4 linked regions of the Saccharomyces cerevisiae S288C genome follow. The gene in region 4 interacts genetically with the main gene of each other region. Each region holds a gene or a part of one and is shown on either strand. Other genes may lie near its edges.

The links.
Region 1: mutations in PKR1 (region 4) and ERV14 together harm fitness more than expected from each alone (negative genetic interaction), as found in Saccharomyces cerevisiae (4 studies listed by BioGRID).
Region 2: mutations in PKR1 (region 4) and ERG4 together harm fitness more than expected from each alone (negative genetic interaction), as found in Saccharomyces cerevisiae (3 studies listed by BioGRID).
Region 3: mutations in PKR1 (region 4) and ARL3 together harm fitness more than expected from each alone (negative genetic interaction), as found in Saccharomyces cerevisiae (4 studies listed by BioGRID).

Annotation. Positions count from the first base shown.
Region 1 is NC_001139.9:400,371-405,345, forward strand, and holds ERV14 (cornichon family protein), read right to left. Parts: upstream 918-4,975; coding exon 501-917; downstream 1-500. Other genes in the region: pheromone-regulated DUP240 family protein PRM8, read left to right, coding at 2,219-2,932; DUP240 family protein MST27, read left to right, coding at 3,317-4,021. UniProt on the Saccharomyces cerevisiae protein: Could regulate export of the bud site and axial growth sites selection protein AXL2 and possibly other secretory proteins from the endoplasmic reticulum in COPII-coated vesicles. Seems to be required for axial budding pattern in haploid cells.
Region 2 is NC_001139.9:466,869-475,502, reverse strand, and holds ERG4 (delta(24(24(1)))-sterol reductase), read right to left. Parts: upstream 2,649-8,634; coding exon 1,227-2,648; downstream 1-1,226. Other genes in the region: SCL1 (proteasome core particle subunit alpha 1), read left to right, coding at 256-1,014; drug-responsive transcription factor PDR1, read left to right, coding at 3,205-6,411; PUF4 (Puf4p), read right to left, coding at 6,696-8,634. UniProt on the Saccharomyces cerevisiae protein: C-24(28) sterol reductase; part of the third module of ergosterol biosynthesis pathway that includes the late steps of the pathway. ERG4 Catalyzes the last step of ergosterol biosynthesis by converting ergosta-5,7,22,24(28)-tetraen-3beta-ol into ergosterol.
Region 3 is NC_001148.4:454,872-462,938, reverse strand, and holds ARL3 (Arf family GTPase ARL3), read right to left. Parts: upstream 2,977-8,067; coding exon 2,380-2,976; downstream 1-2,379. Other genes in the region: DIG1 (Dig1p), read left to right, coding at 1-458; mannosyltransferase complex subunit MNN9, read left to right, coding at 973-2,160; KTR6 (putative mannosyltransferase), read left to right, coding at 4,481-5,821; LEE1 (Lee1p), read right to left, coding at 6,275-7,180; LGE1 (Lge1p), read left to right, coding at 7,949-8,067. UniProt on the Saccharomyces cerevisiae protein: Involved in the targeting of ARL1 to the Golgi. Can bind and hydrolyze GTP.
Region 4 is NC_001145.3:509,498-516,987, reverse strand, and holds PKR1 (Pkr1p), read right to left. Parts: upstream 3,396-7,490; coding exon 3,027-3,395; downstream 1-3,026. Other genes in the region: EPO1 (Epo1p), read right to left, coding at 1-2,532; NCW1 (Ncw1p), read right to left, coding at 5,419-5,673; YMR122C (uncharacterized protein), read left to right, coding at 5,913-6,287; 60S ribosomal protein eL15 RPL15B, read left to right, coding at 6,640-7,254. UniProt on the Saccharomyces cerevisiae protein: Functions together with the other V-type ATPase assembly factors in the endoplasmic reticulum to efficiently assemble the V-type ATPase membrane sector V(0).

The sequences.
Region 1 (4,975 bases), on a different chromosome or scaffold from region 4:
TTTCATTTAGATTCAGATTTGGTTATCTTTTTTCATTATATATCTTTTGCACTAAGTTTCAACTTAAGTTCTATTTTTTATTTTTTTTTTCTGGGCCCTGGAGCAATAGATATGGGATGGCTTACTGCATCTCTTCAAAATTTCACAGTCATGCTCACCCTTAAGTTCTCAACCTTTTAGTTTTTTTTTTTTTTTTTTTTTATTTTGTATGGCATACTAACTATACAAATATTTATATGTACATTTATACAGTAACCTATTATTTACCGATATTCACCGGTATTTTACTTTAATAGATGCTGGTAATAACGAAAAAAATTGATAACTCCCACCGACAATTGAGAAAAAAAGCAAAAAAGGAAAAAAGGGAAGCACGAATTAATACATTCTGTGTATTTATCTTTTTTATCTTCAGTTTTCCTCCAATCTATGGGCGGCCATTAAGTATGTCTATTATTCTTGGCCCTTCAGTCTTCTTTGGATTTCAATGTCTTGTTGGATTAGAAGTCATCACCACTTTCAGCAATCAAAGCCATGATCATTCTGTACAAGTAGAAGAAGAACATCAATAAGTGGAAACCTAACTTTAGGAAACTCTCCCTTTTATGTTTGCCTAAAGTTCTGAATATTTCGGTAGCATCCAAAAGTTGAACTTTATTGTAGATCTTGTTTAGATTGTAAGCTAGAACTGGTAAGTTCAATAAAAATACAAACCAGTAACCGTTCAGTAAGAATAGTAATGACAAAGCACCATGCAAGGCGGCTTCAGGGGTAATTAACTTGTTAACTTTAGAACATAATTCAATTGGATTGATATAGTCAGCTTCTAAATCAGCGTATAGTATTGTGAAATGCACTTGGCCAAACAAATTGATACAGTTGACAACAACAGCAAGGATAAATAACCAAGCACCCATTTTTCTTTTTATTCTTAATTTTTTTACTTTACTTTAATTGCAGTTCAAAGGTAAATGTCTTTGTTAAGTAGGCAGTGAGACATAATAATATGAGAAAAATCCAGGTCTCTCCTTCGTATTAAGGAATACATGATCTAGCTATCACTCTTAAATCTTTCTCCTTCCTTGTTTTTTCTCCGAAATGAAGAAAAAAAATTTTCTTCACGGAACTAACGTGAAAAAAAACTTTCAAAAAAATACTCCGATACGGGGAGTCGAACCCCGGTCTCCACGGTGAAAGCGTGATGTGATAGCCGTTACACTATATCGGAAACAAATTAACTGAAAATGTTGTATCTCAAAATGAGATATGTCAGTATGACAATACGTCATCCTAAACGTTCATACAACACATATGAAACAACCTTATATCAAAACGAACAACATGAGATAAAACCCGGCCTTCCCTAGCTGAACTACCCAAAAGTATAAATGCCTGAACAATTAGTTTAGATCCGAGATTCCGCGCTTCCACCACTTAGTATGATTCATATTTTATATAATATATAAGATAAGTAACATTCCGTGAATTAATCTGATAAACTGTTTTGACAACTGGTTACTTACCATATATATTATTGAGAAATGGGTGGATTTTGAGATAAATGTGAGAAATGGGTGAATGTTGAGATTGTTGGAATAAAAATCCACTATCGTCTATCAACTAATAGTTATATTATCAATATATTATCATATACGGTGTTAAGATGATGACATAAGTTATGAGAAGCTGTCATCGATGTTAGAGGAAGCTGAAGTGCAAGGATTGATAATGTAATAGGATAATGAAACATATAAAACGGAATGAGGAATAATCGTGATATTAGTATGTAGAAATATAGATTCCATTTTGAGGATTCCTATATCCTCGAGGAGAACTTCTAGTATATTAGGTATACCTAATATTATAGCCTTTATCAACAATGGAATCCCAACAATTATCTCAAAATTCCCCCAATTCTCAACATCCGACTGCCATGCAATGTGCTTTTCTGGATCTCACTCATGATCATAATGGCCCTGTAAAAGGCTCGTACTGTTATTATCATATCTTCAATTACGTATTATTTCGGAGGCTGTACCTATTAGTGAAATAACGCCTCTAAAAATGAAAAGAAGAAAAAGAATATGAAAGGGGTTCTGAATTGCTAAAATATTTCGTCAAAGCTCAATTAGTATCAAGATCAAGTCGTAATTCGAATCAGCATAACAACCTCCAAAACCATATAATAACCTTACACAAGACAAGATATCAATTCAACATGCAAACCCCTTCAGAAAATACCAACGCCAAGTCGGATTCTCTCGACGAACCCGGTGCATATTTAATCGAGGAAAATGTGGCTCTTCCTAAGGACATATTCCATTCGTACTTGAGTTATTGGATATATGAAGCAGCTCACTGTACACCGGTCATGCTTTTGTCTCTAGTAATTGGGGTTTTAATCTCAATAATTATTCTTTTTCATGATAACGAAAATTGCGTTGGGGTTTCTGTAGGGTTTCTCCTCATATTCTCTGGCATTTTAGTGATAGTTCTAATACTCAGGTTTGGACCACAGATCAGTGATGAAGATTTCAAATGTAAGCTACTGATGGAAATTATCACACGGAAACCTACGGTAAAGGGGAAAGAATGGAGGACAATTACATACAAGATGAACCAGTATTTATTTGATAACGATTTATGGAACACTCCCTACTACTTTTACCGTGATGAAGATTGCCACCGTTATTTTCTAAGTCTTATTAAGGGAAGAACTTTCAAGAAGCAAAAGGAATCGTCAGCCAGCAATGTTAAAGACGCACAATCAAATGACGAAACCGCTGGCACACCAAACGAAGCCGCTGAGTCTTCTAGTTTTAGTGCCGGACCGAACTTTATAAAGCTCCTCACCAAGGCAGCCGAAATCGAACAACAATTTCAAAAGGAATATTGGCGACAAGAGTATCCTGGTGTCGATGAGTTTTTTTAGACAGAAGACGGGAGACACTAGCACACAACTTGACAAAGGATCTACTTCTCGATTGACGACACTAGTAGGTGTCAAATTTAGTGTCATTTATGATTTTTTGTAATAGGATATAAATATATACGGCGCTCCAAATAATGCAGTTGCCCCAAAAACACCACGGAACCTCATCTGTTCTCGTACTTTGTTGTGACAAAGTAGCTCACTGCCTTATTACCACATTTTCATTATACATCACTTCGCAAAATGCAATATTGAAAATGCCTCTAGAGATGAAAAACAATCGTGAAAAGGGTCCTGCGTTATTAAAACATTTGATCAGTATGCAATGGCACAGAGACAATCAGGAATACTATAGTCATAGACGATACAAGGTATATATTGGTCATGCAGACCCCTCTAGAAAGTACCGACGTCAAGTTAGATACACTCAACGAACCTAGTGCACATTTAATTGAGAAAAATGTGGCTCTTCCTAAGGACATATTCCGTTCGTACTTGAGTTATTGGATCTATGAAATCGCTCGCTATACACCAGTCATGATTTTGTCCCTGGTAATAGGGGTTTTGGTTTTATTAATTATATTTTTTAATGACAACGAAGCTTGTGTTTTCAATTCTGCATACTACGCTTATCTTTCTCTTGTAGTATTGTTAATAATATTAGGTGATGGTAATCCAAAGCTAGTCAGTCGTCGAAATTTTAGGACCGAGCTTTTAGTGGATGTCATCACACGTAAACCGGCAGTAGAAGGGAAAGAATGGAGGATCATCACATACAACATGAACCAATATTTGTTTAATCATGGGCAATGGCATACTCCGTATTACTTTTACAGCGATGAGGATTGCTACCGTTATTTTCTACGCCTTGTTGAGGGAGTAACCCCCAAGAAGCAAACAGCCACGTCAATTGGCAATTCTCCGGTCACCGCTAAGCCTGAAGATGCCATCGAGTCAGCTTCTCCTAGTTCCAGACTGAATTATCGAAACTTTTTGCTCAAGGCAGCGGAGATCGAACGACAAGCTCAGGAAAATTACTGGCGAAGGCGGCATCCCAATATCGATGCGCTTCTTAAAAAGACGGAATAGCTTAGAGACACTGCCATACGTAAAGCGAACATAAACTAGAGTATGATATATAATCAGCACTAACTGGCCCGAAAACGGCCGAAGAAGCCTCGAAAAGTCGATTCGTGTTGGACCCATTTGCTGAACGAAGTGTTCATTGCCTACCTATTATGGTAGTAGTCGTGATAATCGTGTGGTTGGTTTTGTCAACGGTGCATTTGCATTTTCATGACAATAAGCCTTGCGTTTTCGTTCTCGGGATATTACTTTCCCCCCACTTCTTTCGCCTCGATAGCTCCTATAAGCATTCTCAGGGCGTATGTCGGTGATCGAGATTTCCAAGCAAGCTTTTAGTGGAAATCATCGCGCGCAAGCCAGCGGTAAAGGGAAAAGAACGGAGGACGATTACATACAAGATGAACGAATAAATAAATTAATAATAAATAATAATAGAAAGTACAGTAGCATTAAATATTATTAAGTTTAATGATTAAAAATTGGTTAATTGTCAAGAAAATCTAAGGTATTAATAAATAAATAATACTATGACAACTTGCAGCGAAACGATCAGCCCCAATGAAAATTAATCAGAATTGAATTTGAGCGTATCTATTTGATAACGGTTTACGTAACTGTTGGAATAAAAATCAACTATCATCTACTAACTAGTGTTTACGTTACTAGTATATAATCATATACGGTGTTAGAAGATGACGGCAAATGATGAGAAATAGTCATCGTTTTCAATGGAAGCTGAAATACAAGGATTGATAATTGTTGGAATAAAAATCAACTATCATCTACTAACTAGTATTTACGTTACTAATATATTATCATCAAAATTCACCCACTCTTCAGTTACTTATCTTATATATTATATAAAATATGAATCATACTAAGTGGTGGAAGCGCGGAATCTCGGATCTAAACTAATTGTTCAGGCATTTATACTTTTGGGTAGTTCAGCTAGGGAAG
Region 2 (8,634 bases), on a different chromosome or scaffold from region 4:
CCTCGTATATTTATATACATATCCTCCAAACAAACTCCCAAGTTTCACTTTCCTGGATTTACCTTGGCATTCCTTTTCCCCATCCTCTTATAATGGTAATCGCGATCCTTAATTATGATATCACAATAGACGAAGGGCACACACCAATTTGCCACCGTAAGGATAGAGTAAGTTAAATGGCTAACTCATTATAATCTTCATGCTAAATCATATAAGGGCAGAGACGAAGCAAAGCGAAAAAAACATATTACAATCATGTCGGGTGCTGCTGCTGCATCTGCTGCTGGTTATGACAGGCACATCACTATCTTTTCCCCCGAGGGTCGTTTATATCAAGTAGAATATGCCTTTAAAGCGACTAATCAAACTAACATAAACTCACTAGCGGTCAGAGGTAAAGATTGTACAGTGGTGATAAGTCAGAAAAAGGTCCCTGATAAACTGTTGGATCCAACTACTGTTTCGTATATTTTTTGTATTTCAAGAACAATTGGTATGGTAGTGAACGGACCAATACCGGATGCAAGAAATGCGGCCCTAAGAGCCAAGGCTGAGGCTGCAGAATTCCGTTATAAATATGGTTATGATATGCCATGCGATGTATTGGCTAAGAGAATGGCTAACCTTTCCCAAATCTATACTCAAAGAGCATATATGAGACCATTAGGTGTTATACTCACATTTGTTTCGGTAGATGAAGAATTGGGTCCCTCCATTTACAAAACTGACCCTGCAGGTTATTACGTTGGCTACAAAGCTACTGCGACAGGACCAAAACAACAGGAGATCACAACAAACTTAGAAAACCATTTCAAAAAGAGTAAAATCGACCATATTAATGAAGAATCATGGGAGAAGGTGGTAGAATTTGCTATTACTCATATGATTGACGCACTGGGTACCGAATTTTCAAAGAATGACTTGGAAGTCGGTGTCGCTACAAAGGACAAATTCTTTACCTTGAGTGCTGAGAACATCGAAGAAAGGCTAGTAGCAATTGCTGAACAAGATTAACATACTTCCTGCCACAACATAATGTGAAATCACACGCGTCAACACTCAATATATGTATGGACACGTTTCATTTAGGATTTATTTTATAGGAAAAAGTAGATCAAGTAATAGAAAATCGAATCTTTTCAAGCCCTTTTGTCGCGTAAATACATCAATACTTTTATATACAAACTGTAAAATAAGTTAATGAAGTGGATAGAAAAAGAAAATAACTAGAAAACATAAGGAATAAAGACGTAAGGGCAATGTTTACAATACTCATCCCAATCTTTTCCGTACTTTCTCTTACATTTTGCTTGGTCTCTGAAGGCTCTGTGAATCAGGACAACAAGGAAGAATACTGGGAAAAACCATGGGAACACCGAGTTGAACCCGCAAGACAAGGCCCAAACGAGAGATTGAGTCCAATCGGCAGTGTAGTGAATTTTTCTAGCCAAAGTGTACCAACCATCAATCAATAGGTACGATCCATTGGAGGTAACCATATACTTTGGATTCTTCAAAATTTGGTATGGCAAAAATGGGAAAGTCTTCCTACCTGTCTTGTCACCAGACATTTGCTTTCTGAAGGCATTTTTCTGAGCATTTGCCGTGTCAAAGAAGTAGTAGGCGCATAATAGAACAACGTACAGCGAAACATTGTACAGTGTAGACCAGTGATATTCAGATGGGTCATGGTAGTACAAATACAACGTACAATGACAGTAAGTGTATGGGACACCGGCAATATTCCAGAAGATCAGCATAAATCCAAACTTTTCGTAAGCCATGTCCCAGGTTGGAACAATCAATTCTTCACCTTTAGCACATGCGTTCGCGTACAACCAATGAGCTAACATGACAACCCCCAATTGTGGTGTCACATAGCCGTAAGTCTCCCACTGCTTCAAACAGGCACCCAAAGTGATAAAGTAAAGGGTGAACCAAGGTAATCTAACCTCGAAAAACATCTTCAAGTCCAAAATCCCCCACCTAGGGTTTAGTGGAGCTCCCATGAAGAAATCATATAGATGGTTTCCTGTCATTCTATGATAGTCATGTGAGATAAATAAAGTCCATAAGTACAATATGATGGAGAAGGCAAACCCTGAAATAATGGCACATGTCATGATCCTCCCAAAACGGTCAATAATGACATACAATCTAAAAAGATTGGTAAAGTGCAAAACCAAGACCAAAGTGGTAGTTACATACAAGGTCCACATGGCATTACAAAAGTAAGGCAATTGTTTTCCCTTCAAATGAGACAATGGTTGACCTTTTGTCCAAATCCCGGGCAACGTATAGTAGAAAATGATCTGAAACACCCAAAATGTTAAGAAAATAGTCCAGTCATACTTTTCTGGGATACCGTTCTCCAAGACTAACTGGTATAGGTGCTTGATAAAGTGCATCCACGATTCACCAGCCTTGGGTAGGGCAACCTTACCGTGATAAAATTCCGCACAAATCCACATATAGTACATTAGCAGTGGAAACCCGATCAGCATACCAATAACACCAGTAGTCCCACCAAACTCATATTCGATTTCATTTGGCTTCAGCCATTTACCCTGAGGCAGGAAATTAACCGGTTGCTTGGACTTTTTCTCCTCTCCCTGCACCTGCAGCTTCTCACTATTATCCTTTGCCATAGCGATGCTAATCTATGTACACTACGTAAATATCCGTATCTGCCTATCTACATAACTGAACTACATTCCTACGTTATTACCACTGTTTGGTAATTTTTCCTCGAGGATATATAATTCTGCTTTTCCATAGTAACGCCAAACGATCGCGTAATACCGGCAATTACGGGATGCACGAAAATAGCGCCAAGGAACGAAAAAGAAATGAGTCTCGTTTAGTTATTAAACGAGAAGAAACGAGCCCTGATTTACATTCTCAGGGTCCAATAGGGCTTTGTTGGAAACAGACGCATACCCTAAATGGAGTTTCTTTTCTTGTTCAAGACCTAATGAGTGGCAATAAGAGGCGCTAATTAAAGCTCTTCAAAACAACCTTATTCGCCTATTACACATGATCAGCCACTCTTTCATTGTCAACAATAGCATGATAGCAGGACCATAGCGGCCATATAGACATTACCAGGAGTGAGTTTTGGCTAAAAAAAGACAATTTGCACATCACTTGCTAACTATTCATCTCAGCCAAGAATATACAGAAAAGAATCCAAGAAACTGGAAGATGCGAGGCTTGACACCTAAGAACGGTGTACATATTGAGACGGGTCCGGATACAGAATCGTCCGCGGACTCCAGCAACTTTTCTACAGGTTTCAGCGGCAAGATTCGTAAGCCAAGGTCGAAAGTAAGTAAAGCGTGCGATAACTGTAGAAAAAGAAAGATAAAATGTAATGGGAAGTTTCCCTGCGCAAGCTGTGAGATATATTCATGTGAGTGCACGTTCAGCACTAGACAAGGTGGCGCTCGAATAAAAAACCTTCACAAGACGAGTTTGGAAGGTACAACCGTACAAGTCAAAGAGGAAACAGATTCCAGTTCGACTTCTTTTTCTAATCCTCAGCGATGTACAGACGGGCCATGCGCAGTGGAACAACCAACGAAATTTTTTGAGAATTTCAAGCTAGGTGGTCGTAGTAGTGGTGATAATAGCGGAAGTGATGGGAAGAATGACGACGATGTGAATAGAAACGGTTTTTATGAAGACGATAGCGAATCACAGGCAACTTTGACATCTCTACAAACCACTCTGAAAAATTTGAAGGAGATGGCTCATTTAGGTACACATGTAACCTCAGCCATCGAGAGCATTGAACTTCAGATAAGTGACTTGCTTAAGCGATGGGAACCCAAAGTGAGGACCAAAGAATTAGCAACAACGAAATTTTACCCTAATAAATCAATAGAAACTCAATTGATGAAAAACAAATACTGTGATGTGGTACATTTGACAAGATATGCCGCTTGGTCAAACAATAAGAAGGACCAAGATACTTCTAGTCAACCTTTGATCGACGAAATCTTTGGTTTGTACTCTCCTTTCCAATTTTTGTCACTTCAAGGTATTGGTAAATGTTTCCAAAATTATAGATCCAAATCCAAATGCGAGATTTTTCCCAGGACCGCCAAGGAAACCATATACATCATGTTAAGGTTTTTCGACGTTTGTTTTCATCACATCAACCAAGGCTGTGTCTCCATAGCTAATCCCCTGGAAAACTACCTACAGAAAATGAATCTTTTACCTTCAACCCCATCTTCGATATCATCTGCAGGGAGCCCGAATACAGCACACACAAAATCGCATGTTGCGTTAGTGATAAATCACTTACCGCAGCCCTTTGTGAGAAATATAACCGGAATAAGTAATTCTGAGCTACTAAGCGAAATGAATAATGATATCAGCATGTTTGGCATTTTATTGAAGATGTTGGATATGCATAAAAATTCCTACCAGAACTTCCTAATGGAAATCACATCTAACCCCTCCGTGGCTAAAAACACGCAGTCAATTGATGTCTTGCAGGAATTCATCCATTATTGTCAAGCTGGAGAGGCGCTAATCGCCTTATGTTACAGCTATTATAATTCTACATTATACAACTACGTGGACTTCACATGCGACATAACGCATTTAGAGCAACTTCTATACTTTTTGGATCTGCTATTTTGGCTATCGGAAATATACGGTTTTGAAAAAGTCTTGAACGTAGCAGTTCATTTTGTTTCAAGAGTTGGTTTATCAAGGTGGGAATTTTACGTGGGTCTTGATGAAAACTTTGCTGAAAGAAGAAGAAATCTCTGGTGGAAAGCTTTCTATTTCGAGAAAACTTTAGCCTCTAAACTTGGCTATCCTTCGAACATTGATGACTCCAAAATCAATTGTTTATTACCTAAGAATTTTCGAGATGTTGGGTTCTTGGATAATAGAGATTTTATCGAGAACGTCCACTTAGTTCGCAGGAGCGAAGCTTTTGACAACATGTGCATATCCGACTTAAAATACTATGGCGAATTAGCTGTCTTACAAATAGTCAGCCATTTCTCATCATCTGTTTTATTCAATGAAAAATTCACGTCAATTAGGAATACATCAAAACCATCTGTTGTTAGAGAGAAACTACTCTTCGAGGTACTCGAGATTTTTAACGAAACAGAAATGAAATATGATGCTATCAAAGAGCAAACTGGAAAATTGTTCGATATTGCATTCTCTAAAGATAGTACTGAACTCAAAGTTTCAAGAGAGGATAAGATTATGGCTTCAAAATTTGTTCTATTTTACGAGCACCATTTCTGCAGAATGGTTAACGAATCTGATAATATTGTCGCCAGATTATGCGTGCACAGAAGGCCCTCAATACTAATTGAAAACTTGAAAATATACCTTCACAAGATTTACAAATCATGGACCGATATGAACAAAATCTTATTAGACTTTGACAACGATTATTCCGTATACCGTTCGTTCGCCCATTATTCTATCAGTTGCATTATTTTGGTATCACAAGCATTCTCAGTGGCCGAATTCATTAAAGTAAATGACGTTGTGAATATGATTAGAGTCTTCAAAAGATTTTTGGATATAAAAATTTTTTCCGAAAATGAGACCAATGAGCATGTCTTCAACAGCCAAAGCTTTAAAGACTATACAAGAGCTTTTTCTTTCCTGACAATCGTCACTCGTATCATGCTTTTGGCATACGGAGAGTCCTCTAGCACCAACCTCGATGTTATCTCCAAATATATTGATGAGAATGCGCCAGATTTAAAAGGTATAATAGAACTTGTCTTGGATACAAACTCTTGCGCTTATCGATTTTTATTAGAACCTGTTCAGAAGTCAGGATTCCATTTAACGGTCTCACAAATGTTGAAAAATAGAAAGTTTCAGGAACCACTAATGTCAAATGAAGATAATAAGCAGATGAAGCATAATTCGGGAAAAAATTTGAATCCGGATCTCCCAAGTCTTAAGACGGGCACTTCATGCTTACTAAATGGCATTGAATCGCCTCAATTGCCATTCAATGGTCGCTCAGCACCTTCCCCAGTGAGAAACAACTCACTACCGGAGTTTGCACAATTGCCTTCATTTAGGTCATTATCCGTGTCTGATATGATCAATCCCGATTACGCGCAACCAACAAATGGGCAAAATAATACGCAAGTCCAATCTAATAAACCAATCAATGCTCAGCAGCAAATACCCACTTCAGTACAAGTACCATTTATGAACACAAATGAAATCAATAACAACAACAACAACAACAACAACAATAAAAACAATATTAACAATATTAACAACAACAACAGTAACAATTTTTCTGCAACTAGTTTTAATTTGGGGACACTAGATGAATTTGTTAATAACGGTGATCTTGAGGACCTCTACAGTATCCTGTGGAGCGACGTTTATCCAGATAGTTAAACGTATACGTTTGTATAGATAAAAGTTCTCAAAAACTTCCTTCCTTTTTTTTTTCTTTTGAGTTTACTTATTTAAATAAGAACATTCTGTTTTCTAGGGCATCTCCTTCTCTTATTTCTTCAACACTATTTACCAGTATACCATAAAGTGAAAATTCCTATTTTTTTTGCTTTGGATATTCATTTGATCCTCAACGAAAAAAAAAATGATGTATTTTAGTATTGTACAAAAGATATTATATGAGGCTAACGTAAAAAAAGCTAAACTGAGGATATATGTATCAACTATGAATCTAAATGTAACATTCCGATGATTCTTTTACCATGAGGTGTATTTCTTATGGGGCCCACCAGTAAAGGCGCCACAATCTCTGATAGTCTTTTATAGAGATAGTCATTTTGCTTATGAGAAATGTCTAATGCTGTCTGTAAAACGTAATTTCCGTAGCTATCATTCAACAATGATTGAATACCCGTCTCGCCACCATTATTTAAAATTTCCAGAATCATTGGCTCCGAAACAATAGCTGTCTTCAAGATTTTTTCAATCACATTTGATCCAAATTTATGGATAGAAAGTTCGATGGCTCTTGGTTTCAACAGGTGGACAATTTTATGCGTATAATCATATTTGTTCTTCTCAGCCTCTTTGGTAATTATATATTGCACCACATAGTTGCCAAATGGATCCAAAGTTAATTTATCAACAAGGGCTAGCAACTTATCACACAGATTGTCACATTGTTCTGTAGTCCCATGATCTAGACAACGTTGCAAAACGCAACACCCGTGTCTATGAGTAGCAATATCAATACAGCTATCAGAGATTGCGTCAAAGATAAACTGGAAGTTTTCAGGCTTCAACCTTTGCAAACATTTTTGAATAACATGATTACCATTTAAATCCTTACTCAACTGGACAGTATAAGGGCGTAAAGAATCAACAACAATCTGTGCTTCTTCATCTGTTTTGATGCATTCAATGAGTTTTTGTAATGCCCTAGTACCATGAGGGTTTAAGGAAATTTCGACAAAATGAGGGGAAGATATTTTTGTGAGTACGATTCTTTGTTCTGTGGTAACCTCTTCCAATAGCTTCTGGATCAAATAATTACCGAATGAATCAGTCATCAATTCAACCGTATAATCCTTAGTTTCTTCAAAAATTGCGTCCGCCGCCTTACTGCCGAGAATATCCAACTGCTTTTGCAGAAAACGACAACCATGTTGGTCTTTACACAATGAGTGAATACTTCCGATATATTGGTCTAAAACTGCGTCCGCAAATCTCGACGACTCCTCAATTTTACGTTGTTTTTCCGCGCTGTTGCTGTTGGTAGCATTACTGTTATTATTATTATTGTTATTATTATTATTATTATTATTGTTATTATAGTAGCCATGATAACTGTTTTTCATATTTTTCATTTTACCAACGTTAGAACGACCTGTGTCTTTATTGTTGTAATTAGAATTACCAATGTTGTCATTGTCATTATGACTTGACATGCTATTGTTATTACGACCATGATGTTTATTATTGGCGCTATTCATTAACGGCATATGATTTTGAGCCAACAAATGAGGCGGAACCATTGCGTTGAAGGGAGGTGGAGTGCTATAAAGCCAGGGAGGAGGGGGGGTGTTTTGCTGGGGAGGTAATATGTGGAAAGGTTGCATTGATGGCCCAAGATTAGGATTTATTAAATCCATCCTAACATTTGGACCCGCCTTGTCGTTATCGGTGGTGGGCTTACCACCATCATTCTTCATATCTGAAAAGGCAACAGAATTTGAACTAGGGTTTAAAACTGGTGCAAGATGAATTGGCGATTGGGTTAGAGGAATTGGAGAATTTGCATTTAGTGAATGACTCGTAGGATTTAAAATCGGAGAGAAAGGTTGAAATTGCGCGCCCATTTCATAAGAATTAGGAAAAGGTGATCTAATACCATAGATAGGGGAGGATATATTATGTGGGTGGCCTGGCATAATAGGATTTGGTTGAAGTAAAGGTCCCCCATATGGATATGCTGCACCATAAGTTGTAGGACTCTCTTTTTTAGCTGGTGCAGTTTTATTAATCAAATCCTCCTTCGAGGTTTCTATTTTGAAATCGGATAATTTCTCAGAAACACTATTGGTTGGGGGTATAAATGACGTTGAGGAGGGAGTATTATCAAAAGATATGGATTGAGTTCTGGTTTTTGCAGTATTGTTAGCT
Region 3 (8,067 bases), on a different chromosome or scaffold from region 4:
CCGGTCCTACGCAACAGCGCGCGGATCTACGCCCAGCAGATATGATACCTGCTGAAGAATACCACTTTGAACGGGATGCATTACTCTCGGCCAACACGAAAGCCAGAAGCGCAAGCACAAGCACAAGTACAAGCACAAGCACAAACCGGGACAGGAGTTCATGGCATGAGGCAGAACCCAATAAAGACGAAGAAGAGGGTACGGACTTGGCCATCGAGGACGGAGCGGTCCCCACTCCCACTTTTACTACGTTCCAGCGGACCTCGCAGCCGCAGCAGCAATCACCTAGTCTTCTTCAAGGCGAAATCCGACTCTCATCGCATATTTTTGCCTTCGAGTTCCCCCTGAGCTCTAGCAATGTAGACAAGAAAATGTTTATGAGCATATGTAATAAAGTATGGAATGAATCAAAGGAGCTGACAAAAAAATCATCATCACATCACAGAACCGGAAAATAGTAGCCACACAGGCACTTATAAACTTACATACACTCGCATACACTCACCTACTCACACACGCACTCACACACACACTCTCACTCGCACACCAAGGACAATTCAGTACATACACAATTTTTATATAAGTTTGATAAACTAAAAGATGAGGGTGAGTATTCACCTTATTAATAGTTACAGCCTTTATCGTCACTAGACACGACAGCATTGGTTTGTCTTTTTTTTTTTTTTTTTTTTTTCCTTTCCATCGTTGTAGCGGATTTGGCGTTGAAGTATTTTGATATAAGTAAAACAGAACACCAAATCAAGAATAATAAAGGAGGAAAAGTCGTCAACCAAGCGGATTCTCAATTGGTAGAAAAGCTTTTATTATTTTCTGTTAGCCGCTCTTGGGACCCGTTATTTCTGAACCTATTTTTCCTTCCGCACTTTGTGAAAGTAAGAAGAGAATAGCATCAATTTTAGTATTTTTCAAACAGAAGAATTTAAAAGAGCTAGAATAAAAAGTTAGGAAACAATGTCACTTTCTCTTGTATCGTACCGCCTAAGAAAGAACCCGTGGGTTAACATTTTTCTACCTGTTTTGGCCATATTTCTAATATATATAATTTTTTTCCAGAGAGATCAATCTCTGTTGGGACTTAATGGCCAGTCCATTTCCCAACACAAATGGGCACACGAAAAGGAAAACACATTTTATTTTCCCTTCACCAAGAAATACAAAATGCCAAAGTACTCTTATAAGAAAAAAAGCGGCTGGTTGTTCAACGATCACGTGGAAGATATTATCCCAGAAGGTCATATTGCACATTATGATTTGAACAAATTGCACTCTACGTCAGAAGCAGCTGTCAATAAGGAGCATATTTTGATATTGACTCCAATGCAAACATTTCATCAACAATACTGGGACAATTTGCTGCAGCTAAATTACCCTCGGGAATTGATTGAATTGGGGTTCATTACACCAAGAACAGCCACTGGTGACTTGGCCTTAAAGAAATTGGAGAATGCTATTAAAAAGGTTCAAACGGACAAGAAAACTCAAAGATTTAGTAAAATTACTATTTTGCGACAGAATTCCCAGAGTTTTGATAAGTTGATGGAGAAGGAAAGACACGCTTTAGATGTTCAAAAGGAAAGACGTGCAGCAATGGCTTTGGCGCGCAATGAATTACTATTCTCCACCATAGGACCTCACACTTCTTGGGTGCTGTGGCTAGATGCCGATATTATAGAGACACCACCATCTTTAATTCAAGACATGACCAAACACAACAAAGCTATCTTAGCTGCAAACATTTATCAAAGATTTTACGATGAAGAGAAGAAGCAACCATCAATCAGACCATACGATTTCAACAACTGGCAAGAAAGTGACACCGGTTTAGAAATAGCCTCTCAGATGGGTGATGACGAGATTATTGTCGAGGGTTATGCAGAAATTGCCACTTATAGGCCATTAATGGCTCATTTCTACGATGCTAATGGCGTACCAGGTGAAGAGATGGCGCTGGATGGTGTTGGTGGAGGCTGTACTTTGGTCAAAGCAGAAGTTCACAGAGACGGTGCCATGTTCCCTAATTTCCCATTTTATCACTTGATTGAAACAGAAGGTTTTGCTAAGATGGCGAAGAGATTAAACTACGATGTATTTGGCTTACCAAACTATTTGGTTTATCACATAGAGGAAGAGAACCATTGAGCAACTGAGCAAAAAGCATACAGAAGCTATAGCGTTATTGAAAGATAATATTGTTGCGATTATTAGTTGAAAATAAACAAAACAAGATATATATTCATATATATATATATATAATTTACACATGTATATTAAAAAATGCCGAATAAAAAGTGCTACAACAACTAATTTCTGAGCTTGAGAATAAACCATTCACATTTTATTTCTTTTGGTGCTTCTTTATCATTTATAAATCGGTGGTCTTGACTTTTTATTCCTTTCTAGTCTAACAATCATCCATTCTATAGCGTCTTTAACACCTTCTCCAGTCAATGCGCTTATTGGTAAAACCCTACTATCTCTAGCGCTTATATGTTCCGCAATCTTATTAAATACTTCTTTTATATCTTGTACTTCCATTCTATCTTGTCTATCTTGTTTATTGGCCAGCATCAAGATGGGTACACCTTCAATTTCTTCATCCATTACAACTGACTGTAGGGTCGTGGAACATTCGTCTAATCGTTCTCTATCTGAACTATCCACAATGAAAATTATACCATGACATAGGGAATAGTATTCGGACCACATTGATCTCAGTGATTCTTGACCACCTACATCCCAAAACTTCAAGATCTGTTTACTGTCAACGGGTATTGTCGCCACATTTTGTCCTACCGTAGGCTGTATCTTTTCCAAGGCTTTGAACGCCAGAGAGTATTCCTTTTTCAATGTCTCCAAGAACGTCGTTTTGCCTGCATTGTCTAGACCTAATATTAGAATTGAATATTGTTCCTTTTTATTCCAATTATTGTAAAGTCCCTTGACTAAATGAAACATGTGTGCGGTGCGCTTTATATGCTTTATTCTCCTTCATCTACTTGATTAACACATCGATCTGAATTCGTTTTTTAATTTTCCGTTTACATTTGTCTGAAAAAGGTGTAAACATATTTCTTATACTAACACTCCCATAAAGTTCAAAGTAGAAAATAGGAGGTGGGGGAGGATACGTACATATGCAAGCTACATTGACGTATCTGCTCTTAAACATAAAATAAAAATGCAGTAGTATGTTAACTTATTTAATGGTGGGATATATGCTTCTAACTGAATATAACTGCTTAGCATTCAAACTCTAAAATAACAAAGTTTTCATCACCTAATAAATGAGAAATAGAATCCGTAGCTAAATCGGTCGAGTTCAACAAGACTTCTCTATCTTCATTTTTAATCAGTTTCCCACCGACCCAGTTAAGATTTTTCAAAAGATCCAAACCATTATTAATTAAATCATCTCTTAAAATATACAATCTCAATTTCATGTATTCGAATTTGAAGTTTTGGTTCAGGTTGGAAGTTAGCTCTAAAAGGGCAAGTAACCAATCTTTATTTATATAGGTACTGTGGTTATCATGAACGTTCCTACTATTCAGTAAAGATGGTAATACAACATGGAAATAGTTTTCATTAAGTTTACACCAAATCAGTTCCTGCGTAAATAGGGGAAGATACAGTATGAAATACTGCGAGCCTAGTTTTCTCCAATTGTAACCATCGTGGCTATTATTATTTTTATATTGCTTGGTATTTTCATTATAAATTAGTCTTTTTAACGTAGTTTTCATATCGTTTACAAGCTTATTTTTCAACAGCTTAGCAACAGACTTCTGATTGTTCCCCTTATTTTTTGACGGAACATTGTAATCTAATATGAATTGAGATTCCATGCATAAAATAACATCCCAGTAAAAATCGATGATATCAATCTCTGGTGGAACGTCTAGAGGGATGTCACGCGCACCAATCCTTAAATCCCCCACTAGCCAAACTATACGTAGAAAGTTTAGGCATTGGTGTGCACTTATTACTTTTTAGCAGTGAACTTACTGGAAAATGTAAAGAAATACCCAGATTTGATGGGTCCTCTATGAGCCTCATGAGTTCAGGACTCTGTAAAACGTTTATTATTTTTGTTTTCCTTTTCTGTATTACTTCATACATTTTCAAAGATCTTTTTACTTCTTTATGTTATCCTCACTATTGAAATACAACGTTACTAGGTCTTTTATCTTTCCATATTTTTATTCTCAATCACATACATATATAGTCATCGCCGATTATCTTTTCGTTTTTTAAGTGGCGCTCTCGTGAGACACGAGTTGTTCCTTCACAGGAAAAAAAAATATAAAAATAACCTTCAAGTTACATGTGATATTTATTCGAGAAATGTGGATGAGATTTGTTAAATGTACTTATAATGTGTACGAGTATACAAGACTAGAGGGATACTAAGCGTTCACCCAACCTTTTGTGCCCTTTAGTGAAGATAAGATAAGGTAAGATGCACGTACTGCTGAGCAAAAAAATAGCACGCTTTCTGTTGATTTCGTTTGTTTTCGTGCTTGCGCTAATGGTGACAATAAATCATCCAAAAACAAAGCAGATGTCTGAACAGTATGTTACACCATACCTTCCGAAATCTTTGCAACCTATTGCAAAAATTAGTGCAGAGGAACAAAGGCGTATACAAAGTGAACAGGAAGAAGCCGAATTGAAGCAATCTTTAGAGGGAGAGGCCATTAGAAATGCCACCGTGAATGCCATTAAGGAAAAGATCAAATCTTATGGTGGTAATGAAACGACGCTAGGGTTCATGGTGCCATCGTATATCAATCATAGAGGATCACCACCAAAGGCGTGCTTTGTCTCACTAATTACTGAAAGGGATTCCATGACCCAAATCTTACAATCTATTGATGAAGTGCAGGTGAAGTTTAACAAAAATTTTGCTTATCCTTGGGTTTTTATTAGTCAGGGGGAGCTTGACGGAATGAAGCAAGAAATGATTCGTCAAGCCATAACTGATTCTATGAATGGTGATCCTGAGTTAATTAATATTAAATTTGCTGAAATTCCTGCAGACGAATGGGTATACCCTGAATGGATTGATGAAAATAAAGCAGCAGAATCGCTAATTTCATTAGCAAATGTACCGGATGGTGATTCTAGAGCTGTAAGATATCAAGCTAGATATTTTGCAGGGTTTTTTTGGAGGCATCCAGTTCTGGATGAGTTTGATTGGTACTGGAGAGTAGACCCTGGTATTAAATTGTACTGTGATATTGATCATGACCTTTTTAGGTGGATGCAAGATGAAGGCAAAGTGTTTGGTTTCACATTGAGTATGAGTGAAGCTAAGGAAGCCAATGAGAAGATTTGGGATGTTACGAAAAAATTTGCAAAGGATTTTCCAAAGTTTATTTCCGAGAATAATTTCAAGTCATTTATTACAAAAAAGGACTCTGAAGATTTTAACAACTGTGAATTCACATCAAATTTTGAAATTGGTAATTTGAACTTTTATAGATCGCCAGCTTACAGGAAATTTTTTAATTACATCGACGAAGAGGGCGGTATTTTCTACTGGAAATGGTCTGATTCCATCATCCACACAATTGGGTTATCGATGCTGTTGCCAAAGGATAAAATACATTTTTTCGAAAATATAGGATTCCATTATGACAAGTACAATAACTGTCCCCTAAACGATGATATATGGAACCAATATAATTGTAACTGTGACCAGGGTAACGATTTCACGTTTAGAAGTGGTTCATGTGGCGGACATTACTTCGACATTATGAAGAAAGATAAGCCAGAAGGTTGGGATAGGTTACCATAAATCAAAACACTGATGTATAAGAACAATAATCTTCTACATATGAATATATATACATATGTATTTATTTATTTTATTTAATTTTTAATTAGGATCGCGAGAAAGAGAAAAACAAAACTAACTTATGATGGAACGTATCGAGAGGAGGTGAATATATATATATAAAATGACTAGGCTAGAAGATTCAGAGCTTCATGTATTGTCGTAGTTTTTTTGGTTTGACTTTTTTAATCAAATTTCAAATTTCAGTAAATAATTGGTTGGATATTACTATGCAAAATGCAACCGTATTTTAAAATAAAATTAAAAGAATCCAACTCATACAATGAAATGTTTTTTATATTAAACGTGCTTTTTTTTATTATTTTTTGTTCTTATTTTCCGGCTTTCGGAAGATGTAGAGTGGTCCGGTATATTAATGCTTGAACTAGGAAAAACTATGGATGGGGCGGCTCTTCATTCATGACAGTATCTGGAATTGAAATTGTGAATAAGTAAATCTTCAATTTCATTATCTGATTCTTCTTGAATTGCAGGGCCTGTACGATACCTTAAATTCTGATTCACACTCGGATTCGATAACGTAGTTTGGCCTTGCTCTTGCCAAATGTTAGATGAAGACGAAGAGACTGGAGAATAGGCATTAATGTTGGAGTTATTATAGCTATAGTTGATGTACGAAGAAGAAGACGAAGGGGGAGAAAAGAATTCAGTATATAGGGCCTCTGGACTTTTCTGAGGCGAATACATTAGGTATTGCGAGGAAAAGTAGTTTGCATTCGAAGCAGAGTGAGAGAATTCCGTTTGTGCAGACAGAGGAGGAGACGTGTAGGTAGAGAAAGAAGCTGATCTAGCATGGGATAAGTAGTTGTTTTGTGAAGGGGGAGTGATGTCAATAGGTTCTTTACTGTTCATCTTGAACCCATTTGGCAGCACATGAGCATTAACACACTTGTTACCGAATTTACAGTTACCCTTTGCGAAATACTTGCAAGGTAAATTATTCGCAGAACTGATAATATCTGGGGAATGGGAAAAGGGACAAGACGAGCCAGCTTGGCAATTGCCCATCTTAAAAAATTTGCATGGCACGTGTGAATAGTCCTTCTGCTGTTGAGAATTGTTCTTCGTTATCAGTAAATGTTCCATGATAATTTTTTGTTGACGTGATGAGAAAGGCAGTTGATTGCCGACAGTACAATTTTTTGACAAATTTACATTTGCATTGCTGTCATTGAAAGACCTTGGAATATTCTGGAAATCCTGAATTTGCGATGCAAGCATTTCGTTTGCTGATTGGGAGTTTCTTCTTGCGTTACCGCCCGGATGATTTGATACAGACATATTCTCAAAAGCATCCATTTTGTTTTAGCAAATAATAGTTTTAAGATTTATAATAATAATAATAATAGTAATAGTAATAGTAGTAGTTATGATAGTGTTAGATAATAAAATCGAGATTTTGTAGAAACAAGGGGAAGCCGAAAAAGAAGAAATTATAATTACTCTAATATGACGGCACAAGAGAAAAGGGAAAAGAGTAACTGCTAAGAGATTCTGTTTTTATAATGCCCGGAGTAAAAGAAGCTTTGAGATTAAAAGATCACCACCATATTTTGTAATAATTTACTTTAGATTGAGATATAGGGGAAGAACTACACGAAGCACCGAAATCCAAAACTTAAAAATTACAAGATAAGCACGAAAATACATAATACAAATAAAAAATGATAAAGGCAGAATTATACTGTGGTACCTTGAAGATAAGAATACCGTACCACAACATGTTAATCTCCACATCATTTTATTACTAGCACTGCCACACCGTGCACCCCATACAGGATGTTGTCTGCACCTTTTCTTCCTATCATCTTTTTTATCCCACATCATACTGTGGCGGGCCTGTAGTAGAGCTCCCTTTCACCTTGGCGTTTTAAGGGGCGGGGCAAGAGTGGCGGGGAATTCCGCCGTTCCGAATTGAAAAAAAAGACACTTTGTACGGGCCATTACCCTGTGAAGTTCTTTTTTTTCTCTTATTTTCATCAGAGAGAATGAATCAACTGCGATGAAAGGAAAGAACACCACATTTATTACGAGGCAGAAGAGGTGACCAAAAAACCGCAGTAAAGTATGAGCGGATACACGGGAAATAATTATAGCAGATACTCATCCACTCCTCCGAGACAAAGGGGGGGTTATCACCATGCGAGACGAAGTAGAGGTGGAGCAGGCGGATCGTATTACAGAGG
Region 4 (7,490 bases):
TAATTCAGTTTCCCTTTTTATCGATTCTGCTAATTCTGTAGACACCAGTGTCAACTCATTCATTAATTCTTTGTTTTCTGTTATCAAATTCAATTGCTCACCAGATATTGTTATCATCTTTGGCTGAGAGCTATCTTCTCCACTAGTTGATCCGGCGGAAGTTATGTCTCCTCTCCTAGCATATAACGGTTCATACGGTTTGGCTAAAGTATTATCAAAACTGAAGTCTTCTTCTGAAGCATTCATGCCATCCTTATCGTAGCTAACTGGGGCTGATTTTGTTTTGGAGGGTGAACCATCCATATGCGGTACAAAATTATCAGATTCTGAGGCGGAATCAATATTCAACGGCAGCGTATTGGAGATGAACGATCTACGGGAAGAGCTGGACATATGAGAAACTGCTGATAAATGACCATCGCGATTATTTTTTTTATATAGAAAAGTATCATTGTTGATGTTTTCCTGGTTCATGGATATGTTGACATTACTTAGTCTCCTGCCATTGCCATCGGATTCACGTCGCTTAATGGTAGCATCTGAGACATTTCTTTTGGGATCTCTTTCCGGTATGGATTGTAACAAAGAAGCCCTTTTACTAGTATTGAAATCAAAATCGACCTCGTTCGTTGTATTCATTTCGCCATTATCCGAATTTGAGTTATACTTTCCGGGAGAGGGGAATTCTTGTGCGGTCACGTATTCATTGATATCAGTAGAGTTTTCTAGCTTATACATACCTGTTCTGGTATTGATGATTCTTTGCTTGGAGGGAGAATCACTAAATGTGGATGAGAAAGTCGACAAGGACGCTCTATTGGCGACTGCACTTTCACTTTCCAATTTAAGATCTTTTAAACCAGTCTCTAGCGCACTCGCAGGTCTTAAATTTAAATCGTCTGATTCATGTGAAATTTCCTCCTCTTCATTTGCTTCAGTATTTTTCTCAGCTCTTTCCTTTTCTTTTTCTTCTACTAGTGCTTCTCTCTCACGTAAAGATTTTTCCATTTCAGCTAGCTTCCTTTCTTTTTCCTTTAACTCGTTTTGTTGAGGAGTGGATAATTGCAAAACATTCAGTTTTCCCTTGTTTTCAATAGGTTGATCAATGTTCACTTGTTTTTTTAGTGGTGAAGATCCTTGTTTTGTAGAGTTAGGCATTGCTGTAGCATCAGTAGGAGATGACGGAGAGAATGTAGTCAGGGAGTTGTTTTGTACGTTCGGTATTGAATAAGCTGAATTATTCTTTGAGGAAATTGACGATTGACTGATTGGCTGTTTCATGGACACAGCTTTACGATCGTTGTCATTTGGTGACCATGGATTAAACCCTTGGGGAACGTTCTGACTTTGTAGAGACATTGTCCGATAGCCTTCAGACATTGGATGAAGTTGAAGTTGTTGTTGTTGTTGTTGTTGTCTTTGTGATATCTGCTGATGACCTGCGAATGGCCGAGGATTTTGGGGTGAATATCTTGGGCCATTAGTTAATGACAGAGTACGTGGTTGCTGAGGTGGCTGTTGTCCAGAGGGCATTACTGGTGGGGTATTCTGGAATTGACCTGGGTGATTGTTGTAGTTGTTCATCGGTAGCATTCTTTGTTGCTGCGGCTGTCGAAATTGTCCGGGAGGTCCACTCATCAACGAATTTGATCTCGAATAATTAGCGCTCACCATTTTATTCGGTTGAAATCTAGGATGAGGAGTGGGTGCTTGCATTAAAGGATTACCATTCGGGAAACTTTGCAAAGACATTGCTCTCGGAGGCAACGAGGCTAATGTACCATTTTTAGTTTGTTTAGCCATGGCATTCATTGCGGTTTTCCTTTGATTAGTAATGTACTTCCTATACTCAGTATTACTCATATTGCCGCGGTCTTTAGTCACCAATGTTGGAATGATAGGAGTGGAATCACCACCATATCCATATTTGTCACCGCCCTTGTGACCGAAGGTCTGAATGTCATTGAATGTTAGGTCGGAGTTTGCAGAATCATCCAAGATAACCTCATCGTCATCATCACCATCTCCACCACCTCCTGTCCCCTTAGTGTTTTTCTTTGACTTCCCAAATTGATGCTTATGTTTGAAAAAATTGGAAAATGAGCTCTGGGTAAATGAGGAAGCTTTCTTACCATTAACATTATCGCGATTATTGCTTAGTGATGGTTTGGTGAAGTTATGCTGCATGAGGGGAATCTCATTCATATGTGGATTGGAATACTCAAAATTATACTGTTGTTGCTGGCGTTGCTGTTGTGAATAATTCTGCATGGGAATTTGACGTTGTTGAAGTGGCGCTTGTATTGGAGCCTCATTCATGCCATTACGGTAGTATTGCTGCTGCTGCTGCTGCTGCTGCGGCACGGAAGAAGGCTGGATGTTAATATTGCTGTCATTCCCGTTCCTTGAAATAGGTGTTTCATCCCTAATGTCAATATTTCCTATATCATTATTCAAGAGGTTATTTCTCAATTTAACTCTAGCAGAAGACTGACCGTTTCTTGTTGCCATGGTCGATAAACCTGCATCCATTTTGAACTTTTTATAAATAGTCTTTGAGTACTTTTTATCCCACTGCTTTATCGGATCAGGCTGTACCTCTCTGCTCTTTTTGTAGGGTTATTAATAGCTCGGTGAAAATTAATGAAAGAAAGCTCCAAATTTAGCTATAGCCGTAAACTAAAAAAAAAAAAATTAGGAGGGCAGTCACTAAAACAAAAAATCAGAATTCCTATGCAATGTGCTGCTGACACAGTTACTTGAAATGCCTATTTATTCACAATTTGAAGGGTTTGCGATGCTGAAAGAGTTGTTCTATTCAGTCGCACGCGTTAACTCTTTGCATGTGCTTCATTTGTCCATAATTGAGCCCAAAATTTGATTTAAAAAAAAGGAATTTTTGAAAAAAAAAAAATATCAGGGGAGACCCTGAAGCGGACAAAAAAATTTACAATTGCGGACATTTACCCGGAAGCTCTGTGATATACTAATAACAGAGATAATTATGTAGTCAATTATGTATCTGTCTATGCTTTTCTTGACCTAGATTGTGCTTGAGTCCGTCTGGCAGTACTAGTGGATTTCCCGCTTTCTTGCTTGTCTTCGCTGTCTTCCTTGATGGCACTGTCGTCCTTTTTATTGGCATCTTTATCCAGCTCATCATTATCCTTCAATTTGACGTGTGATAATTCGTTTATAAACCAGATAACGGTAATCCATAGTAAAAGTGATATACAGAAAAGAGCATAGAAGTGGATATTCCCGTTTGTGGCATAGATGAGCCAGATGAGGGTCAGTAGTAGTGCAACAAAAGATACGTGTGTGGCGATGATCAGCTGGGGGGAGGTCCCTGGTTCAAATACACTTTCCCACAGTCTAACAAAAAAATTGGCCATTTTGAGAAATTTTCGAAGTTATATCCCTGCGATTTTTGGCACTAATCAATTAGATGGACGTGTTCTTGGATATGACAAAAAGAAAAGACCATCTCTATTTTTCTTCATTTGATTTTCAGTCAAGCAAAAAACGCCGGGTAAACGCAGTCAAAGAAAATTAAAGAACATCTGCTATACCCTACCATGTTCTTAAAATATGAATGCGCTATTCAGGTTCATAGGCAAAGTTTTCACATGTCACTCGCCAAATAAAAATCAAAATTGAAATATATAGGTAAATAGATTGATAAAAAGACGTAATTAATCACCTGTACATCTTCAATTGGAGTTTCTGAGACACCGATATCTAGGACGAAAGAAACAACGGTAAATGATGATACCGTGCTTCGAGCAGACAGGGTCAGTAATCATACCAACAGAAAAATTCTCTTTGGTATAAGTAACGGTGTTACTGCCGGAAATACTCCCGAGAAAAACAGAACCTTCACTGGTTTTAATATTCACCTCAATGTAAGTGATGGTCTGACTTTGCCCTTATAATTAGCAGCAGCAGGAGTGGCGACACCAGAGATTAGGCACTAGTGAGGAGAAGAGATAGTCTGACTGGCCATTTTAGTTAATGGATATATAGTTTCCCATCTATTGAAAGGAGTGGAAACTATAACTGAAAACTGGGTTCTTGAGCAGGAATACTGCTTGTATACTTTTCTTGTATTTCACTGCTTCCTGTCCGATGCGCTAGCACGATGGAGCTCGGCAAAGAAAGACAGAGGAGAGAAACATCCTGAGGATTTTGCTTTGTGCAGAAAAGGTTCCATCCCTGCAATAAGGGTCCTCTTTGCTGCGGAAATTCGAAGAAACGAGATAACCATCCTGGGTTGTAGCGACCTCATCACCACCTAGACCCCTCGGTATGCAGCCAAAATCCATTTGTGTTTGCCTAAGGCACGGAATGGGAAATAAAGTATTTTAGATTGCATACGCATTTTCCCTCTGGGTAGGGAGTTGGTAAAAAAAAAATAGACAGAGTAGATTCGTAATAACTTAAATGGCTAAAGCGTGGGTACATCAGTGCAAACAAATACGATATTACCGTACCAATTGCACACTTCTTGGTAAGAAAAACTGGGAGCACACCTTACCCATAAAAAAGTGCATCGTTATTCCCATGGATAGGAAGAATAAGAATATATCACTCCTGCCTCCAGAATAGTAAATCTGTTTTCTCAGTAAATTATCCCTTTGAAACCTTACTGGATTTGGCTGTCATTGGTCGTAATTGCCCACAATTGAGGTTGCATTCTAAATGTTTCTTCCAATCAAAAATCAGTTAGATAAGTACCTTGGATGCCATTACATCGGGAAGCCCCTTTACTCAGAAGCCCGTTAGTTTCTTGAGTACTCCGATATAATTCCCCTATTTCTACAAATGCTACATAAAAAAATGCTGTGAATAAAGTCGCTAACAACAACTACTTATCGTGACTTGTCTAAAAAAAAAAAAACCTACATTTCAGAGTTAAAATAAATCTAAAGGTGCCACTGGAAAGAGTTATATGCGAGCTCCAGGTTCATATTCAAAAACATGACATCTTACTTTCTCTCGCGGTTGTGACCTCCTTCAATGAATTTGATATTGCTAACCAACAATCATCAATATTTTTGTTTTACCCGTCTTCTCGTTTTCTGAACGTGACACTAGCAATGTCAGACGTTCATTCTCACTTTCTGTCACGTGCTCGCATTGCGAGCAAAAAAAGCCTTACCACCACTCGATTAATCTAATGAGTTGCTGTATTAATAAATAAATTTTTATATTAAAATATATTATAGGAAACATGCAATGGCCCAATTGGCCTAAATATATATAACTCCCACAAGTTCGCCCACCTCTTCATTGGTTTAACTAGGCGTCAACCGCGAGTCCATTATGATATGATTTTTATGTAATTTTTCTGTTAATCAATCGTTCCCTTTGATAGTACAATAAGCAGAAGGAAAAAAAAAGGCTTTTAGAAACTTCTTAAATACCGGTGCCTAGGACGAAAGAAACAGCAGCAAATGCGGCCATGATGATACCGTACTTCGAGGAAACAGGGTTTGCAACCATGCCTGGAGCAGCGTTCTTTGAACTGGAAGTAGTGTTCTTAGCGGCACTGGAACTAGCAGTAGAAGTAGCAGAGACGGAAGAGGCGGCAACGACATTGTTGGAAACTAAGGCACTGTTAGTTTTGATGGAGGAGGAAGCGGAAGCGGAAGTGGAAGTACTGCTGGCCATTTTTATTCAGGTTATTTGCGATTAGGTTGGGGTTTGTGTTTGATGGAGACCTCAGTAATTAACAGTACATTCTGAGAGCGGCAAACAGAATTCTGCCTTAAATTCAGATCGTTTATATACTTTTTTTTCACTTTTTACGCTCGAGACACCATAACCCAAAAATAGATCAAACTAGCCATTGTATTTTTCACCAATATGGCAATGTGATTTCCGCATTAGGCAATACTGTGAAAGACTCTATGCTACGTCAGTTCGGAGGCGTGTTTCGCAATCTTCGCGTTCCAGAACGCACCAACGCGTTGTTATTTGCGCAGCACAAGGGGGACGAGAGACATTCTGGCCAACGTGCATTCGACGGAAGTAAATTTCGGCTGGAGGCTAAGCGCTGCTTTACTGCAATTTGCATCATTACGGTGGCTCGCAGGGATAGATTGGGCGTACTGGTTTGTGGCAAAAACACCGCCTCCACGCTACCTTATTTGCCAGCCAACCGCATATTCAGGTTGCCAAAGGTACAGATCAGGAAAATGTTTCCCATTGGATGCGCAACTTTCCTTAGTAGGGAATATATAATCACTGCATTGCTGGTTTCGTACTGCCATCTTTGCGTTTAAAGTATAACCAAATTAATAAAGCGACTACGCCGCTATCCAAAACAGGCTCCTCCAGCTCCTTTAAGGAAACAAACGTCTTTTTTCTTTACTCTTATTTTTTGCACCGATTGCTAGAATACTTCTCCAATCTCTTCAAATGATGATACAAACATGTAGTCAGTAGAGATGTATCTGTCTTGATGCTCCATATGTCGTTACCCGGAAAACATCTTTCTTGTTCCTTTCGATACTTTTCCACGTTTTCAATTAACCGGAGCCATTGATAATTTCATTCACTCTTGAGAAGTTAGCGGCAATAGTAATCGGCGAAAGCTACCGTAAAGACAGTCACAAATTACCTACCACACAAGCAATGGGAGCCTACAAATATTTAGAAGAATTAGAAAGAAAGAAGCAATCTGATGTTTTGAGATTCTTGCAAAGAGTCAGGGTCTGGGAATACAGACAAAAAAATGTCATTCACAGAGCCGCTAGACCAACTAGACCAGACAAGGCTAGGAGACTAGGCTACAAAGCCAAGCAAGGTTTCGTTATCTACCGTGTCAGGGTTAGACGCGGTAACAGAAAGAGACCTGTTCCAAAGGGTGCTACTTACGGTAAGCCAACTAACCAAGGTGTCAATGAATTGAAATACCAAAGATCCTTGAGAGCTACCGCTGAAGAAAGAGTTGGCCGTCGTGCTGCTAACTTGAGAGTCTTGAACTCCTACTGGGTCAACCAAGACTCTACTTACAAGTACTTCGAAGTTATATTGGTTGATCCTCAACACAAGGCTATCAGAAGAGATGCTCGGTACAACTGGATCTGCAATCCCGTCCATAAGCATCGTGAAGCTAGAGGCTTGACTGCCACCGGTAAGAAATCCAGGGGTATCAACAAGGGACACAAATTCAACAACACCAAGGCCGGCAGAAGAAAGACCTGGAAAAGACAAAATACTCTGTCGTTATGGAGGTATAGAAAATGAAATAGTTAGAACCGTATATAGATCAATAATAATGCACTATGAACATTTTTTCAACCTGATTACTTCATCGTTCCTTTTCTTCGACTTATTTTTTTTTTATTATTCTTCGCTCTTTGGCAGCATACGCAATTTGAATTTGCAGTTTTTGACTCTTTTTTCCTTAGCGGAACGAACAATATTAATCATGCCAACTAAGTCATTGCAGAAGTCAACTTATCATTTATAAAGAAGATCCT